Drosophila melanogaster: one gene and its partners. The protein of the gene in region 1 interacts with the protein of each later gene in a pairwise test. Each region holds a gene or a part of one and is shown in the gene's direction. Other genes may lie near its edges.

Region 1 (3,300 bases):
GTGTCTTGAGCTCCTGCTGGACCAATTGGTGCGTCTTGGCGGCAAGCTGTGCATTCGACTCGGCGGTGATCAGCTCCTGGTTTTCCTCCTGCACCACCATTTCGGCCTCCCTGACCTCCGCTTCCAATTGCTCCAGCACCTGACTCTTTCCGAACAGCACTGCTTCGGCAGCTTTGGCCGCAGCGTTTGCCTTGTCTGCGTATTCACCTTTGATTTTATCAGCGGCCTCCTTAACGGCGTTTTTCATATCATCGTTTGCCTTTTTAGCCTCGTTGGCCGCCTGGACGGCGATTCCGGAGGATCGCTGTTTGGCATTAGTATGGTTTCGCGTCTTCTTTGCCGGCGAGTTGCTATCCTCCCCTGACATGTCGCACACGGTTCCATCACCAGGACCACCGCCACCGAGCCCACCAGCGAAACTCCTCATCAGGTCTGAGTCCTCCGTCTGCATTGGCTTTCGGCGGGTTCGATAATGATTGCCAGTAGCGGATGCCGGGAGCGAGGATAACACAATTATTAGCCACATGATCTGAGTGTCTATCCGCATTTTCCGTTGTCTCGAGCATTTTTCCGACTGTCAATCGGATGGAGATGCCATGCCTGTCAAATCCGGAAATCGAGATTATGCTCTATTGCCAGGCAATGTGCTTATTCCTGCTTAGCCTTGCTTGCGTTTCGCGGAGCCACATAATCATGATAAGCGACTCGGTGAGTCCTAACCCTCGAATCTGTGGGTAAAGTCCTAGTCTATAATTTGTTTTCTCATCGCCATTGAACAAGGATCCTGTTGTGGCTCGATTGTATGAGCCAGCAAGCGAAAAGAAGCAGACTGCAAGTGGAGGATCATCGGAAGGGTGTGAAACAAGTTCTGCTGTGCAAAATTCTTGTGGCCTTAGCCAAAAGAATGCCAAGAGCAAGGCTTCCAGCATTGCAATTAAGGCCGCCCAGGACGCCAAGGCGGCCAATGACGCCCAGATGGCCGCCGGAGAGGCAGCCTCACTCCAAGTGAAACAGGATCTGGCCGAGAAGGCGGTCCAAGCTGCTCGAGCCGCGGAGGCAGCTCTTGCTGGCAAGCAACAGATCATGGAGCAACTGGAGCTGGAGGAAAAGGAGGCGGTGGCCGTTGTGGACGAGGTTAAGAACTCACTCCACAGCACACAGGTGAACGCAGAATCTGCCATGTTAGCGTTTTCCGAAGCCAAGATTCAGCTGGACCAACTGAAAGTCCTTTTGGCTGAGGCCACCGCTCAAATGACCAACATTGAAACTTTCGCTAATGGTGCCCAATTGGAGATGGATGAGAAGGGGCAGCTGTTGGAGGCGGCCAATCGGAGAGTGGAGAGCATCTCCAGACAAGTGGTCGCTGCCAGGCAGGATTACGACAAGACCAAGAAGGCTGCCTATAAGGCGGCTTGTGCGGCAGTGGAGGCCAAGCAAAAGGCTCAAAGGATGCAAAGGGCGATTAGCTCTGCATCCTCTTCAAGCTAGAAACGATCAATATTAGCCATTATCACTTAAATTTTATACATATATATATATTTTTGTAAAGTTTATAATGCTACTTTTTTAAAAATAATATATTATATCAATATAATAAAAAATATACTGCGAGCATGTAATTAAATAGATGCATAATACTATTCATAGCTGCTGGATGTAGGATATACATATATGTTGTATCCATCTAAACAATGAAATTAATGAAAGGCAAATATCCGAGGTAGTTTTTCCGAATTGTTTTTGCTAAGAGAAGGTAATTTTTCAGTCAAACCAGGCTTTCCGAATGGAGTCAGCGTCGAGTGTTTCCAAATATTTGATCGGAATATGCCTGGCACGAAAGCGCTGCTCCTCGTCCTGCTACTGCTGCGTGCGTTCCCTCGACTGGAGAGCTACCACTACCGACCCGCCGAAACGAATGACAAGCAATGCCTGTCCGCATTGTACGGCGATGCCAGCATCGATGGAACTGGTGGGGCGGGCGGTTTGGGAGGCGGATCCGAAGGCTGTGGGGAACCTAATTCGAAGAAAGGGGTTGGCTGCAGCAGCGGAACCGGCGTCTTTGGTCGCGGAGATCCCAAGCAGAAGGCCTCCAACATTGCCCAAAAAGCCGCCCAGGAGGCCAAGGCAGCCAGCGATTCGCAGATGGCAGCTGCCGAGGCGGCTGCATCCCAGGTCAAAAACGAACTGGCCGCCAAGGCAGCTCAATCCGCTCGTGCGGCGGAGGCGGCACTGGCCGGAAAGCAGCAGATTGTTGAACAGCTGCAGCAGGAGATGACCGAGGCGGATGCGGTTGTCACTGAGGTGACCTCGTCCCTACAAAACACCCAAGCGAATGCCAATGCCGCCGCATCGGCTGCCCACGAGGCCCAATCGCAACTCAATCAGCTGAAGAACCTTGTGATAGCCGCCACGTCCAATCTGGCCAATATCGAGAACGTGGCCAGTGGAGCGCAGCAGGAGCTGGCCGAGAAGACGCAGCTCCTGGAGGCTGCCAAGCACCGGGTGGAGAATCTAACCCGCCAGATGACCGAGGCCAAGACGGACTTCGAGAAGACCAAGCAGGCGGCCTACAAAGCGGCCTGTGCTGCAGTGGAGGCCAAGCAGAAGGCACAGAGGTCTCGTCGAATGACCCACCGCCAGCAGGTGCGCTGGGGTCCGCGCAAGATGGCCGGAAAGTTTTCCGGCGCAGGCAGCCAAAATCTAGCACCGAATTCGGGGATCAACTGATCTTTTCTATATTTTGTTACGTTTCGATTTCGGTTTAATAAGTTTCCTATTAAAAGATAATGGTTTTATAACTAAAAATTAAAATGTTTCACGATAATTTTGTTAGTATTAAATAAATATATTTAAATAAGTTTAATTTGCATGGAAATATTTGATTTATTCTTTTGAATTTAATTTAAAATTTTAAGCCGTTAAATTTTGCGTCTACGCTGTTAAGTGTGCATCTATGTCAAATGAGACTGTTACGTGCACTGTTAGCCGAGTGATGGGCAGCACTGGTGGCACAGCTGTTCAATGTTATAAAATCAACCGGCAAATTGTTTAGACGTTTTTTTTTTTTACTTATTTGTATATTAAAATAGCTTTTAAAGTGATGCTTATTAGAAGAATTAAGTGCCTCAGATATTTGGGAACTCGCTACAACAGTTCGCACTATGTGACAACTCCAATTTTCTATGTAAATGCAGGTAAGCATTTTAGACCAAATCAGTCAATATTACGGATAATAAAAAGAAATAATTTTTAACAAATAGCTCCTCACATTGGACACCTGTACTCAGCGGTCATAGCCGA
Region 2 (7,681 bases), on another chromosome or scaffold:
CATGTCCACGTGATCTTTCAGGTTGAGAGTCTGCAGCTTGAAGTATTCATCGACATCCACCTCGGTTTCGTCGAATACCTCGCCGCCGAGGATTACCTTTTCCGATTCGGTTTGCAGTTTCCTGCAAGTGATCGACAGGGCCAAGAGTAATTCCCCACTTTTCACGTGCTTCTCCATTTGCTGGAATAATATTTCAATTTAGAAATGGGTAATAGGGCTTGGGACAAAGGTTCACCTTGGTCAACTCGTAGCACTCGCCGGTCAGGATGCGCAACTTCTCGTGCGTGATCTCGCGATCCATCTCCTGGTTGAGCTCAATCTTCTTGCGCACGTTGGTGAAGTACTGGAACTCCAGGCGAAGATCGTTGAGCGTGGAGTTGTTCTCCGCATCCATGCGAACCATTTCGCGCTGCAGTTCCGCCTGCATGTTGATGTACTTGGACTCCTCGGCGTTTAGCTTGCGTGACTCCTCCATGAAAGCCGCCTGCCGCTCCGTCAGCCAGTGGATCTTCTCGTACTTGTGGGCATCCAGTTCGGTGCTCCTCAGCGACTCCACGAAGTCGTTCAGTTGCTGCTGCATGTGCGTCATCCGGCGGACAATCTGATCTCGAATCTTAAATCTGTTCTCAATCTCCGTATTCACGCGATCGTCGCGCTGCTCCAGGTAGATAGTGTAATCCTCCTTCAGCTGATCCCGGGTGGTGATGTTGGTGGCATGGATTATGTTCTCGGAGTTCGTTTTCATGGCTTCCACCTCTTCGGTGCGCCGGCGCACCTCTTCATAGTAATCCCTCAGCATCTCGTCAGCCTGCTGGTCATACATGCTCTTCACCCCGCCCAACATCACGTGGAAGCAGTCGCGAATGTGATCAATCAGCTCCACCGTTTTGCTGTAGCAACGCACGTGCTGATCCTGCGTCTGCGCCATGTCGTCCAGAAGCATCTTGATGTGGTCGTTCTTGGCCTGAATGTTACGTTCCGAGCGCTCGCCCCAAGCCCTCATCTCCTCGTTTAGCTCCTTGATCTTGATTTCGCGGCACATCTCGTGCCACTCCTCGTTGCCTTTCTCCTCCATATGCTTGCCCATCTCCAGCTCGCGCATCAGGGCATCCTGAGAGGATCATGGCGCAACATTAGAAATGATGCGTTTACAATTTTAATATAGTCTTAATATATTATTTTTATTATAAAAATTAATAATATTAAGGATTTGCTTAGGTTCATCCTTAATAAAAACTCTGCGAAAGTTAGTTGAACCCACCCGCATGATGAGCCGCTTCTCCTCGATCATAGCCAGTCGCTTGGCCTCTTTCTTGGCGGCCTTCTTCTGAGCCTTGGTTAGTTTGGGCGGTCCTTGTGGCTCCGGCTCCTCCTCCAGTTCTTGGAGGTAGTTTTCCGAAACACGCGTCAAGCGTGCCAAGATTTCGGCCATTTTGCCGATGTGTAGTTGTAGCTGAACTAAATGCGTAAATCAAAGGTGAAATTTTTGGAAAATTGACGGGGGAGCTAAATTCGAATTGTGTGCCTGTTTGAAAGCTGAATCGAAGTTTGGCGCACAGCTTTCGACGGGCAAATTCCAACACTGGATACCAGCTTTTTTAACGACTATTCGCACAGCATCTGAAGCTTTAACGCCCGCCACTGATTTCCTCAGTTGACTCTCAAAGCTTGGCTCGCGAGGTTGTTTATAGCGTCGCGACTCCAGGATTCCCCAAAAACGATTCCTTTCCGGGTAGCTAAAGCCTGGCTGGCTTGCTTACTAACGGCACGCCACATCGAACTGTGTGTGTGTGAGCGTGTGTATCTGTGTGTTGCGGTCCTTTTTCCCGGCAGGCAGTGCCTTGTAAACAAAAATAACTCTGCTGCCGAGGAGAGGTTGCCATCGAGGGTGGTTACAACCCCCAAATCTGAAACATCCGACGACAAAGGCAACTACAAAGCTCCGCGCAGGATAAGTGGCAAGGGCACTCCTGCCTGCCAACTTTTCGGGGTTGCAGACAGTCGGCAAACAAGCTGCGAATGCGACTTTAAACGTCCATAAACATTCAGGCAGAAAACGAAAATAATAAAACGACGGTCGTTCGGTTTAACTGGGCATCGAAGCGCCTCGCATCTGCAAGTGCAATTGTTACTGTATCTGCATCTGTATCTATTCGTGAGCGGTGAAAATGAGCGAATCCGGTGGCTATCAGAAAATGCCGCCCGGCTGGGACTGCAAATACGATCAAGCAACTGGAAATTGGTGAGTTGCATGTGCACAGCCCGACGTCATAAATATTTATGCATCCATTAACCACAATGTCGTGAAATGCGGACTGTACTGGGAGATGTGGTGGCCAGTTGTGGGATATAGGGGTTCCATTTGATAGGTTGCCACGGGGGCAACTGATAAATTTGCGTGCCAACGTCGCTTGGGGTGGCTCTTTCGGTGGGCGAAGGATTATGGTTGGGTGTGTGGTTGTGGGTGTATGTAGGGGGCCTTGGGGGCGTAAGTCGCTTACTTTAAAATGATTGGGTGGTAGGCGTCCGGTTGAGGTGGTGTTTGCCATGTTTGGCCTTATAGTGATAAGGAAATTATTCGTTAGTTCGGTGGCTTGCAGAACTTAGTTTTGAAACACCTTTGGTATTTAAACTCTTAGGACGCAAGCTCGGTACTAATTTAAATTATTCATTTAACACACAATGGAACGAAGTACAAGCTTGGATTGGATATTGGCTAACTTTTCTTCAGCTTATAATCGAAAGAACTTTCTAACATAAAATTTTCAAAATGTTTTATGTTTGAAGAAAATGTTTTAATTTAAATTTAAATTATTATTACTGATACGCAAAACAATTTTACTGAACTCTAAAGACCCAGCGTGTGGGTACCATGTGGTTCCCTATGGGCTACTTAGCTTAGTGCTCCTTAGCCACTCCAATTGGCCTCGTTTCAGCGGCATAAATTGTGTCACTTCCGCGTCGTCGGATGCCAGCGGGGTCTTTAACATCTCCTTAGCCTATCATACATATATACATATAACTTAACCCCTTATGCTTAAAAAGCCATGTGCAATTAAGCAACATACGTTGTCATACGTTAATTCAAGAGGCCACTCAACCGAAGACGAGCTTTCCATCCTCACGACGTCCTCGTCGACATCCACCCTCTCCATTCCGAAAATCAGAGCAGAGATGGCCTGTCAAACGACGATGAAAATGACGACTGTGCGTCCGCCTTTTGGCAGCTACTTGGCACGTGCCTTGGTTTAGGCGGTTCCTTCACCCTTTACCTGTCCGTCCTCCCAAGGGACCATCAACATGTGGGGAGAATCCCAAACCAATCCACTCCAATCCAGTCCACCACCAACCGGCCGGCTTTAGGATGTGCCTCCACCCTTGGCCTGAATCCAAGAGCTTTCGAATGGCCCTGGGTGGGAGGTCATTTGCTGACCTTTGATTTGATAGAAGCTCATCTTCCATTCGGCTGCCCTTCTTCCCGTTCCAGCTATTACATAAACTATCTGACGAAGGCCATGCAGCTGGAGGATCCGCGCGGCCGCAGTTACAGGCAGTTGCAGAACGAACGCTGTTCCACGGAGTCGATAGCCTTGCAGGTAACCTCCGCTTCCTACCCTGCATTTTATTGATTTTTTATTCGAATGGGAACCCTTGTACTTTTCAGCAGTTGGTCAGTCAGCCGCAGACGTCGCACAACAGCTCGCCGTACCACGTCCATCCCAGCAACAACTTGACTGCAATTCGGGCCTTCCAGGAGCGCCAGCAACCCACGCTGCACAACATCTCTACCAGTCCATTGTTGTCGGCCTCCTCCAGGGGACACTTGGTGAGTATGAAATGACCTGAAGATTGATTTTGATAGAGAAACTACAGCCATAGTTGGCAATCAATAGGCAAATCACGTGTGGGTGCGCATCGAAAAATCTGTGAGCATCATCAAAAATGTGCATAAGTAGGTCGTTCTTTCGCACAAAAAATACGCAATTACCTTCTGATATAGTGATTACAACAAGATATCCTGATTGTAGATACTTGTAAGAGGCTAATAATAGATAATTCAAATAGGCTGAGACCTTCAGGAAATAGTTGTATGTTTTTTAAGTTAACAAACATGAAATTCCATGAGTAGTATCCGAAGCCCCTTGCTTACTTTGCGTTTAAGTATCGATAATTGGTTTGAATGAATTTTTTATTAATTAATTTTCCACCTAACCCGCAGGAAATGTCTTCACCTCTGCCCTTTCAACGAGCTCGCGTGGGACCGAATCTCTCGCGGCGCTCCACCATTCAGGAGACCTCGTTCACCACGCAAGCGGAAACGGATGCCGTGGTGACCAAAATCCAGAACATGTTCCCCACCGCTGGCGAGAACCATATACGTCTCCTGCTCAAGCGGTAAGAAATTGGTCCCGACTTCAGCTAAGCGCTCGTGCCAGCTCAGCTGGCGTACTAATCTGCGTACTTACATCTATGTCTTCTCACACGCCGCCTAATTCTGCTGCTTACTGCACCTGTCTAACCCCACGACTAAACGCTAATCCCACGCTTACTAACCCACCACTCCAGCTACTACAATAGCGAGGCGGTTGTCGTCAGTGCGCTGCAGGTGGAGAAGCACCCGGTTACCATGCCCGGACCCTTTGTGACGCCCCCTTCGCAGCGGCACCTCTTCCACAGCGGCTCCGCCTTCTACATGACGCCACCGGCACGTCGGCCGGACACGGTAGCTAGTCGGCGCACGTCGCGCACGGCCAGTCCCCTGCCCGGCGGACGCTTCGGTAGTCTCGTGAGCGTGCAGAGCGGTCCTGGTGGTCCAAGTGGCCATCAGGCTGTTCTGCCTCCCAGCTCGGCTGTTCCGCCGGCTCTGCACGGATCGCCCCTGTGGCGCAGCTCGCCCAGGCCGCACTCGTCGCCCAAGATGAAGCTGAGGTTCGATGGGGTTCAAAATCGAGGGACATTTCAAAGCATTGTTGGATTGCTTTAAAATCTGTGTTAACCAAAAGATCGGATTTAATCTCTTACTTTACAGTTTTTTATTTTTTGCTTGTAACAATCTATTAAGGGTTATTAGGCTTGGGTTACTTATAAAAAGTTCTGTATCTTTTAATATAATTCGTTGGTTTTAAATTGGTGTTTTGTTAATGTTTTGTTGAAACATTTATTTTATATAATCCAAGGTAACATATTAAGTGACAAATTTTTAAATTCTCGATGTTGTAACATAATATTCTTTTAACTTAAATTTTCTTCGATGATAAATAATATCCAAATTCCACCATAGATACATGAAGAATATATTCCCCAAGGCGGACGAAGAGCTGCTTCTGGATATCCTGGCAAATGCGGATAACAACGTGCAGTTCGCATCGGAAAAGTTGATTTCTTTGGGCTACACAAAAAGAGATATGCAACAGCCACACAGACCCAACAATCGCCCGCCGGACCTAAATCAAGATCAGGAGGCTGGAGGGGATCAGAGTGGTGTACATATACCGCTGAGACCCAAGGAATACACAGAGGAAGAGAAGACAAAAAGTAGGTTTTAATTGTACACGTAAAACACTTAAATAAACATCTTTTACTTACAGTGCAAACTTTGCTTAAGGAGAAGTACCCACAGATTGCCGAGCGCATTATCCTAATGGCTTTGGAATCCGTCAACTATGCAGAGGATAGGGCTACGCAAATCCTACAAATAGTCCAGGACGAGGACGAGCAGAGGGAGCAAAAGCAGGCTCCCATGAATCCCAAGCACCTGGATCTTAAGAAAACCACAGGAACCGAGCAGATCGATGGTGCCAACGAAAAAGACAGGTAGCCCTTGACTTTATGTTTTCCCGCTCACGCGAATAAAACCAACCGATCAAGGTCGTTGGCACCCGCTTTTTCCACCCACTCAATCAAGTTACTCTCTTTGGCTCGCTGCTTTATCCGTTTTTTAATCGACTGCCTATTTTCTATGTGAACTTTCTTTGCTGCCTCCGCCTCTGACTAAATCCCCGAACCAAAAAAACACTATCCGCTTGCCTCGCGCCACTTGATCATCCAGCCTGCCCGCCGTGGTGGAGCCCACCACTTCATCCAAGCCGAAGCCGCCGCACAAGCGCCACATTCTTCCATCGATCAATGTCACCACTCCATCAACGTTCACCACCCAGATCATTTTGGCACAGGCTACGCCCACACCAACGCCCACAGCGGAGGAGATGAAGCTGGAGACCCATCTGTCATCCATCTCTAGTGCTTCCTCATCGCATTCATATGCCTCACCCCCACAATCACCCCGCATCTTCCAGCAAAGCTACGAACGCCTGACCACCAAGAGCATTTTGGCCAAGAGCGGCCATAACCATTTTGGCCACCAGAGCGATACCAATAACTACAGCATCGACGGCTACCTGCATGGCTCCTCAAATGCTAGCTCCTACTCCTCCTACTCCGCATCAATGACGTCCTCATCGCTGGTCTCGTCGGCCCAGTCCAACTCCTCATCCATCGCGAGGAGGCCAGCTTTCGAAAGTCGTGCTCGCACCAAAACCGATTCACTGAAGTATGCCCGCTAAAACCAAAAACCGTTCCGATAACCGTTTTTTTACCGTTTCGCTAAGTAAAATCAATCGTTTTGCGCATGAGTTTTTCAAGGAGTTCGCATGGATAGTATCGGGAAATCCGTTTTTGAGATATTATTTTTGAACCTGTTAACTATATTCTTTCGGCATGCCTTAAGCTCAATATAAAATATTAAATCTTTGAAATATTTTAGTTTAATATAAAAAGAACTTTTATACAAATTTAACCAATTCTCAACAGACATCGTCAGCACTCCCTTGGAAATTCGCATAATTCGGAATCAGCTGAATTTCAATCTATTATCGAACGAATGGCCAGTTTGGGACCCAATTCCCAGCTAAGCAAGGGTGCAGATGAAAATCTTTTGCTGTAAGTAGTTCAACTTAATGTCGAAGTAATAAAAACAAAGACTCATCTATGAATATAATTAAAATTATTTTCAGAGCCGATTATGTCACCTGGAATGGACCCAACACGAAGCTTCTTCAAAAGCAGATCACTCAAGGACCTAATGCTAGTCTTCTCACAGATCGCACCTATAAGCCAAGGGGTGGGAAATCGGAACTCTGCAAAGGACCCCAGTCCGGATTGGCGAAGGGCAGCATCTACGCCCAAGGCAGCAACAAGAGCGCCAACATCAAATGCAACTAGGCGGGAGTATCTCATCTGGAACCTCCCCCAGAGTGCCAAAGAAGTGAAGATGAATCTTAGTAGCCAAGCACCACCCTCCACATGTTCAGACTTACGATTTATATATGTCGTAGTGTTTTTTGCTCTTATCCTTAAACACCTACCAAATACCACACGAGTACGTAGACTCAACAAAAAAAAAAAAAAAAAAAAAAAAAAACGAAGTCACATTCCATCCAAGCTCCAATTGTTTTTAGTAACTCGTAAATAAACAAACTTTAAAACTAACAAACTTATTTAATATTAATGCGCGTCTGGAGAAAGGGGATTATGGGGATTATGGTACAAAAAGCACATGGGTGTAATCTAGACCTCGTCCTCGTTAAGGAGCATGTTTGGTATACCATCGCTGATGGGAAACACACGACCTGTCTCCGGGCACTCCAGTTGACCCTCGAGCACGTCGATCTCGAAGAGCAGA
Region 3 (3,274 bases), on another chromosome or scaffold:
TTTTTAATATTTAAAATTTATAATAATTCTGAGTAATTATAAAAAATTTTTTAACAGCCTATTAGAGTTGGTATAGCTGAGTAATGTTTTAATTTTAAACTTTTTACTTATTTTGGTTGAACGTTTTAGTTTAGTATAGACATAAAATTTTAGTAGTAACTTTTAATTAAAAAATACATATATGTTTAGTTAATTTAGTTCATAAGTTATGGATATCCTTGAAGTCGAGCTTGATGCGTTGCTCACTTCTTTTGGTTCCAAAGTCCTCGTCCCAAGCTTTGTCCATGTCAAACGGAGCGATTTTTGTGCGCGACTTTTTGTGGAAATTTCTTGCTTTTTAATTACTTGCCGGCACTCGTGGATACATATACATTATCCCCAGCTCCGACTCCGGGTGCTCTTGCCTTCTCCCAGGGGACTGCTCTTTGATATGCTCCCCGTTCGGGCCACTCGAAAGTTGTGGGCACTCGAGATGGCTGCCATTTGGGGGGCGGATGTGCCATCAAAGCTTTTAGGCGGATTAACCAATATAATAATTTCAGTAGCAAGTCCTCGCCGCAAACTTGACAATGAAAGCAGCCTGGTGGCCAGGAGGGAAGTCAAGTGTCAAAACAAATATGTTTGCCGCCTGCGGTTGCCGTTTGCTGTTCTCAATACATGCCCCGCTGCCAGCTGCATGATTGTGCATTTAGTAGACACCACATCCACATCCCCTTACTCCTCCACATCCACGAGGGAGCACATCCACGGATGGCAATAGGCTGGCTCGTATGCACAGGCACATGGCAAACACTTGAGCTGCACAAAAGGAGGCAAGGAAGTGGCAGGATGCGCGCCAAATCCTTCGCCTGCAACATCATCATCGAAAGCGGCTGAAAAGCAAACCCGAAGGAGAACGGCAACAATTTGCTGTAGTCGTCGAAAAGACCAACCAACTCTTGCAGCAAAATATATTTATATATACAACAAATCAAATATTGTTTATTTAACAAAATTTTTAGGAAAGTGGCCTCAAATAATATAATAGTAATATAGTTTTTATATATTAGAATAATATACATATGTAATTGCACATCATTTTTTCTGTGTGTATGTTGCCACACCCCCTGAAATTCACCGCCCATTTTGAGCGGTGCTTTATAGCCACCATCCACCAATCCATTGCGCTGCTGAAATCGCGTAATTGGCATTTTTAAGCAAAATTCACGCTTCAACACTTTTTCAAGTGTGAGCCTGGCGCAGCAGGAGCATCAGGATATGTGTTCCCGAACAGCCTGCAAGAAGTGGGTGAAGTTGGGTGGAGTTGGGTGGAGTGGCCTTTGTGGTGGTGCATCCTTGTGACGTACGCTTTACCACACACGGCGGCGGCCTGCACTCGATATTTCTAATTAGTGAGTTCTAAGCTCTTTGCCCGCAATTTGTGACATTTATTAATTAATTTCGGTTCTTCCAGCGGTGAGAGCGGATAATTAGACAGTGATTAGCCGGATTTATTGTGGTCTATTAAAATAGGCAAACAGGCGAATGGTAATGGAGCGGAATGACTTGATAATTTCCTGATATCGGCCCGGCATAACACTCATAAATCACTCGAACTTCAGCTACCTTTTCGTTGGCGGTTAAACCCGTAAGACCCATTAAATTGTAAGCCCATTGCAGTCGTCAAGGTCAGGGACAAATCGCCGAGTAACGGACGTTCAGGCACGCACCAAAAATAAGACATGGTCAGGTCTAGACCACGAAAACTAAAACGAAAAAATTGAAAGAAAAAAAAAAAACAAATTCAAAAACAGTAGCCAAGAATTGCGCATGCGCAACGTCAATCGAAAGTCGTTGACTTGGCAACCATCGATGGCTGATCTAAAAGCGTGATCTGCATTGGTAAATAGCTCGAAAAGTGTAAGTGGCTATAAAAGAGTCGTGCAGCTGGCTGTTGGACATCACAAACCAATTGGCCATCTACCAAGTGACAATCCAAAAAGAAAACCAATACATCAACATGTTCAAATTCGTAAGTACAGGAAAACTATTTAGAACGAAGTTTTGAAGGAGAAGGAAGCCTTTATAAACTAATATAAAAAGTATAACTGATATTTAAACAAAATATTGCAAAAGATAGTAGATATCTGAGAAAACCATTTTAAGTAACCTTATAAGAATGAGTTCCATTTGCAGAACTTAAATCATTTTAAATATTAATTTTTGTAGTAATTCTTTTAATATTACTTCACTTAACACTTACATTGAAACTTCCACCATTTAGGCTGCTATCTTCTTCGCTGTTGTGGCTGTGGCTGCTGCCAAGCCTGGAATTTTGGCTCCTCTGGCCGCCGCTCCTCTGGCCTACACCGCTCCGGCTGTGGTGGGCAGTGCCGCCTACGTGGCTCCCTACGCCTCCAGCTACACCGCCCACTCGGTGGCCCACAGCGCCGCCTTCCCAGCTTCCTATGCCGCTCCAGTTGCCGCCGCCTATACCGCTCCCATTGCTGCTCCTCTGGCTGCCGCCTACACCGCTCCCTACACCCGATTTGCCACGCCCTACGCCGCCGCCTACACCTCGCCCCTGGCCTACAGCTCGCCCTATGTGGCTCGTCCCTATGTCGCCGCTGCTGCCGCTCCTCTGCTGCTGAAGAAGTAAATCCATGGATTGTAAACCCTGCGGAAGATATTGCCCCATGAGCTTGGCTCATGGACTGGCATTTATTTTCCATGCAACCCCTACTTGTGATGCATTAAACCGTTTAGAATCTACATGTTATAATTGTTTTTCATTTATGGGTTTATAGCTTTCAAAAGTAATTAACTTTAGCAATCTTAAGGGTATCTCATTTATCAATCCATTATGAGTTCTAGTTACTACTTGCAAAGTACATATTTTAGCTGACTTCAAAACTATTCATATAACATGTGAGATTACAGTTTTATGGATTAGCATGCCAAGCACTGGCATTCGCATATTTAAATGCTCCATTAGCGAGCGGTTTTTTGCGGCCATTCAAGCTAAGCGTTCAATTATTGCTATATGTCGAGGCTGCGGATTGGGCCTGCATATAAATGAGCATGGAAGCCTCTTTCATCTGCGATGAAATTGTCGGGCTCCAGCCGCAGGCTTCAATGAGTTTGGATATGTACTCGTACGTAGTACGTACATCCTGAAGCCTGCGAAAACCGAAATTGCCGCAGCAACCGCAAGCCACCAAAATATGGGTTAGCATCCTTCATTCTCCGTTCTCCGTCCTCCATCCCCAATTCTCGAATTCCTCCGGCTCAAAGC
Region 4 (3,186 bases), on another chromosome or scaffold:
GCGGCTAGCTGGTAACTGGTAGTTGGTAGTTGGTAGTTGGTATTTGGTAACTGGGAAAAGCTGGGAATGAAAAACGCTGAAAACTCCTAACGAACGACACCTGCCCTCGGAAAATGCCACTACTGCACCCCGCGAGAAACTTTCGCCCCATTTGGTGGCGTGTGTCTCGCTTTTCTTCTTGCTGTTTGCATTGGTCGCCCCTTTTCCTTTTGGCGATACACTGCTGCTGATGTTGCACGAATGTTGTAAATCAAAAGTAGGCGAGTCACACGAAGGGTCTTCCTGCCCCCCCGAAATCCCTGCCACCGCCGATAGCCGCTGCTTGCCAGCGCCTCTGCTGCTGCGCCTATTTGACTGGCAGGCCGAGCGGATAACGCTGGCAATTATCGCGCTTGTGCCTCACGAACAGCGGAAGCGGCAGAGGCGCCACATCATGTTACCCGGCCCGATTCCCCAGACCTTCCACATCCCCAAACTCTTTGTTAGCCTGCATCCTTTGCTTTCTTTTGTACCACTCGTTTTTCTTTGTGCAATCCAATTGGTAGCGCTCAGAAAACAAAGCAAAAACGATTGAAAATAACAACAACCAGTCCCGGCTACAAGTCCCCCAAAATATGGCAACAGAAACAAGAAGAAAAAAAACGATTCATATACGAGTATAGCCATGCACCTAGACCACCCCATCCGGTCAGTCAGTCAGTCATTGAAGTCATTTATTGCCACCAAAAGTTTTTCGCTGTTTGCCATACCCTCGCAGAGGTTATTACGGCTCAGACTAGGAGCAGGACACGAAGGATCTCAATGGGTGTAGTTATCGTATACAGGACTGTAAGAAGTTATAACCCAATGACATTACCTATAGGACTATCATTATTATCAAATCTTAATGACACACATCTATATGTGTATATTTCATAGCTGAATATGGCCATATAAATGAGATGTTTCTCTTGCAACTAAACCTACTTTTTAGGACTATATATTGTGCATACACATAACACGTTTTCATTAGAAAGAAAGCTTAATAACAAAGGGCATTCCATGCTTCGGTTAACCAATCGAGCCTCACTGTTGTACTTATTTTTACTTCTGGTTGTACTGTACTTGTCTTTGGAGCTGGAGCGGATCTGAACGACTCCTTCCCGGGAAGGACCGTTCCGTTTCAGTACGTTCCGTGTGCAGGATATGTTTACAATTTGCGGACACGCCGACCGTCATTTGATTGCTCCCCTCGCGCTTGTCGAATTCTCGGTTAATTCGCCAGGTGGCTTCAGACTGCGCATTGCCATCGGCGGCGGGGGGAAAGGATTGGGAGGCTTTGGGGCGGAAAAATGGGAGGGCAATGATAAGCGTTCCTCGTTTGTTTGCTCGGAAGCCTCACGGAAGATGACGTGCCCGGGATGGCCCATAAATGAGACTGGCCAAAGCAAACAGACCGGATACACAGGATACATTCAATCAAATAAGGCTATTCGTAACCGGAAAAGGGCAGGACGACTCTATGTCTTCCTCAATCTGACCAAACACTCCGCTAATCGTATGGTTAATAACTAAAATACCTGTGGATAATCTTTAAACGTTTTCAATATGTAAGTCAGTGAGATACAGATACAGTAGATTGAAGCTTTCTGACTATATAAAGTATTTACTTATTTATGATGAGCAAAATTGAATGTTGATGATGAACATTTTATTTGTTCCAGCAAATTGTTCAAATTCAAATTAAAAGTAATGGCGCCAAAGATAGAATTCATCTGTTGACGAAGGCTGGCAGCTACAGAACAATCTAACTAAGCTATGGGATTCGTTTCAACACACTCGTCGTAGAACTCCACTAGTTTTGTTTTCTCACTAAATTAACATGCAGCCCCGCGATCTTATGCGCATTTTAATATTATTCTGCTTGCGTTTTGCATTTAACTTTTTGATTGTTTACCTCCAAAAACATAACGCCGTTCCAGTGGAGCAGAAACGGCTTGGAACCCTCGATAGAGGCAAAAGCTGGAGGCTATAAAACTCGCACAGCTGAGTTTTATTTTGCACGCGACATTGAATTTGATGAGATGGAAAAATGCATTATTTGCGTAGATAACTTGAGAAAATACAAGTGCAGCAAATGCTCGGCACCCTAGTAAGTAGCTATTCGAACAGTTCACTACGGAGATAATAAATGTCGCAAAATGTAGCTGCTCTGTGGCTTGTTATAAGACACACAGGGATTCGCCCCAATGTGCGACAAGGGAGTCCGACTTGAAAAAGACTGAAGTTGGCTACCAGGAGGAACCTACGCTTCATGTGCCCTTCCCCACCGACGACACAGTTGCCGCGGAGAAGCTCCAGCAACTAGGTAGGTGTTTAAATTCGCAATTATACACATTTCTCATAGTATGATGGTTTCCGTACAGAAAACTGCCAGGAACTGCGTAATTTGCTCCACAATCCACACCTGCGTTCGCTGCTCCAGCAGATTGATGTGGCCATCAATGCCCAGTCGGCCATGATGGCCGCCATGCAGGAGCCACTCTTCGTGGAGTTCGCTAATGCCTGCCTTCAAGTCGTCGAACCGATGACGGATGCTGAGCGCACTGAATTTGAGTTGTACTCCTGAATTAAGTTGACACACAGTCTCAATAAAACTAAGCCTTTATTTTGTAACTAATAGTACTGTCAATCCTTGGCAGCTTCTAGAGGAGCTTGCATTGAAGAACTCCTGGAAACTTCTCATTGAAATCCGCCGGTAAGGTTGAATCTTTTCCATAACCAGGGAAAACGTACAACTAATTATTTGGCTCGGCCATTTAAAGTTATCTATCTCAGCTGGCATATCAAACTAGTCATCAGTCTACAGCTTCGTTCCTTGGCAATCAAACTCAATCAAAGTAAATTGAAACTGGATCCGAGTTAAAAGTGATTTTTGGATGCTTCATGTGCAACTTGAAAAGCCTATGTTCCCCTTGCACTTTCCAGGTCATGGGGATGGGATCCTGTAATGAAAAATATTAGAAACGAAAGCTAATATAAGTTGTGAAATACTTAGACCTCATTAGACATGAGATACGTGTTTAGTTCCACATAAATATTAAGTGCTGTGGTACGGTTTTCTCCCAGTTTCTTCGCATCGAATGTGAACTCCTTAAATCCGAAGGTGCAATGGTATATACCCAGGACCTCGTGTGTGTTTAGGTT

Evidence for each region.
Region 2: the proteins of CG14840 (region 1) and CG10508 interact in a two-hybrid assay, tested with the Drosophila melanogaster proteins (one large-scale study listed by BioGRID).
Region 3: the proteins of CG14840 (region 1) and CG13678 interact in a two-hybrid assay, tested with the Drosophila melanogaster proteins (one large-scale study listed by BioGRID).
Region 4: the proteins of CG14840 (region 1) and CG8204 interact in a two-hybrid assay, tested with the Drosophila melanogaster proteins (one large-scale study listed by BioGRID).

What each region holds. Positions count from the first base shown.
Region 1 is NT_033777.3:14,259,708-14,263,007, reverse strand, and holds CG14840 (uncharacterized protein), read left to right. Parts: upstream 1-1,794; 5' UTR 1,795-1,824; coding exon 1,825-2,727; 3' UTR 2,728-2,800; downstream 2,801-3,300. Other genes in the region: CG14839 (uncharacterized protein), read right to left, coding at 1-547; CG14841 (uncharacterized protein), read left to right, coding at 592-708, 781-1,488; MetRS-m (Methionyl-tRNA synthetase, mitochondrial), read left to right, coding at 3,101-3,194, 3,261-3,300.
Region 2 is NT_037436.4:21,208,563-21,216,243, forward strand, and holds CG10508 (uncharacterized protein), read left to right. Parts: upstream 1-1,652; 5' UTR 1,653-2,168; coding exon 2,169-2,242; intron 2,243-3,487; coding exon 3,488-3,596; intron 3,597-3,664; coding exon 3,665-3,826; intron 3,827-4,219; coding exon 4,220-4,395; intron 4,396-4,566; coding exon 4,567-4,929; intron 4,930-5,199; exon of another isoform or gene 5,200-5,281; coding exon 5,282-5,535; intron 5,536-5,588; coding exon 5,589-5,814; intron 5,815-6,049; coding exon 6,050-6,550; coding exon of another isoform or gene 6,551-6,563; exon of another isoform or gene 6,564-6,752; intron 6,753-6,810; coding exon 6,811-6,939; intron 6,940-7,013; coding exon 7,014-7,221; 3' UTR 7,222-7,489; downstream 7,490-7,681. Other genes in the region: CG10510 (uncharacterized protein), read right to left, coding at 1-180, 236-1,111, 1,262-1,432; Trmt112 (tRNA methyltransferase subunit 11-2), read right to left, coding at 7,567-7,681.
Region 3 is NT_037436.4:8,220,204-8,223,477, forward strand, and holds CG13678 (uncharacterized protein), read left to right. Parts: upstream 1-1,937; 5' UTR 1,938-1,999; coding exon 2,000-2,011; intron 2,012-2,263; coding exon 2,264-2,638; 3' UTR 2,639-2,750; downstream 2,751-3,274.
Region 4 is NT_033778.4:15,572,611-15,575,796, reverse strand, and holds CG8204 (uncharacterized protein), read left to right. Parts: upstream 1-1,805; 5' UTR 1,806-2,063; coding exon 2,064-2,131; intron 2,132-2,186; coding exon 2,187-2,347; intron 2,348-2,405; coding exon 2,406-2,608; 3' UTR 2,609-2,653; downstream 2,654-3,186. Other genes in the region: CG30466 (uncharacterized protein), read right to left, coding at 2,871-2,984, 3,040-3,186.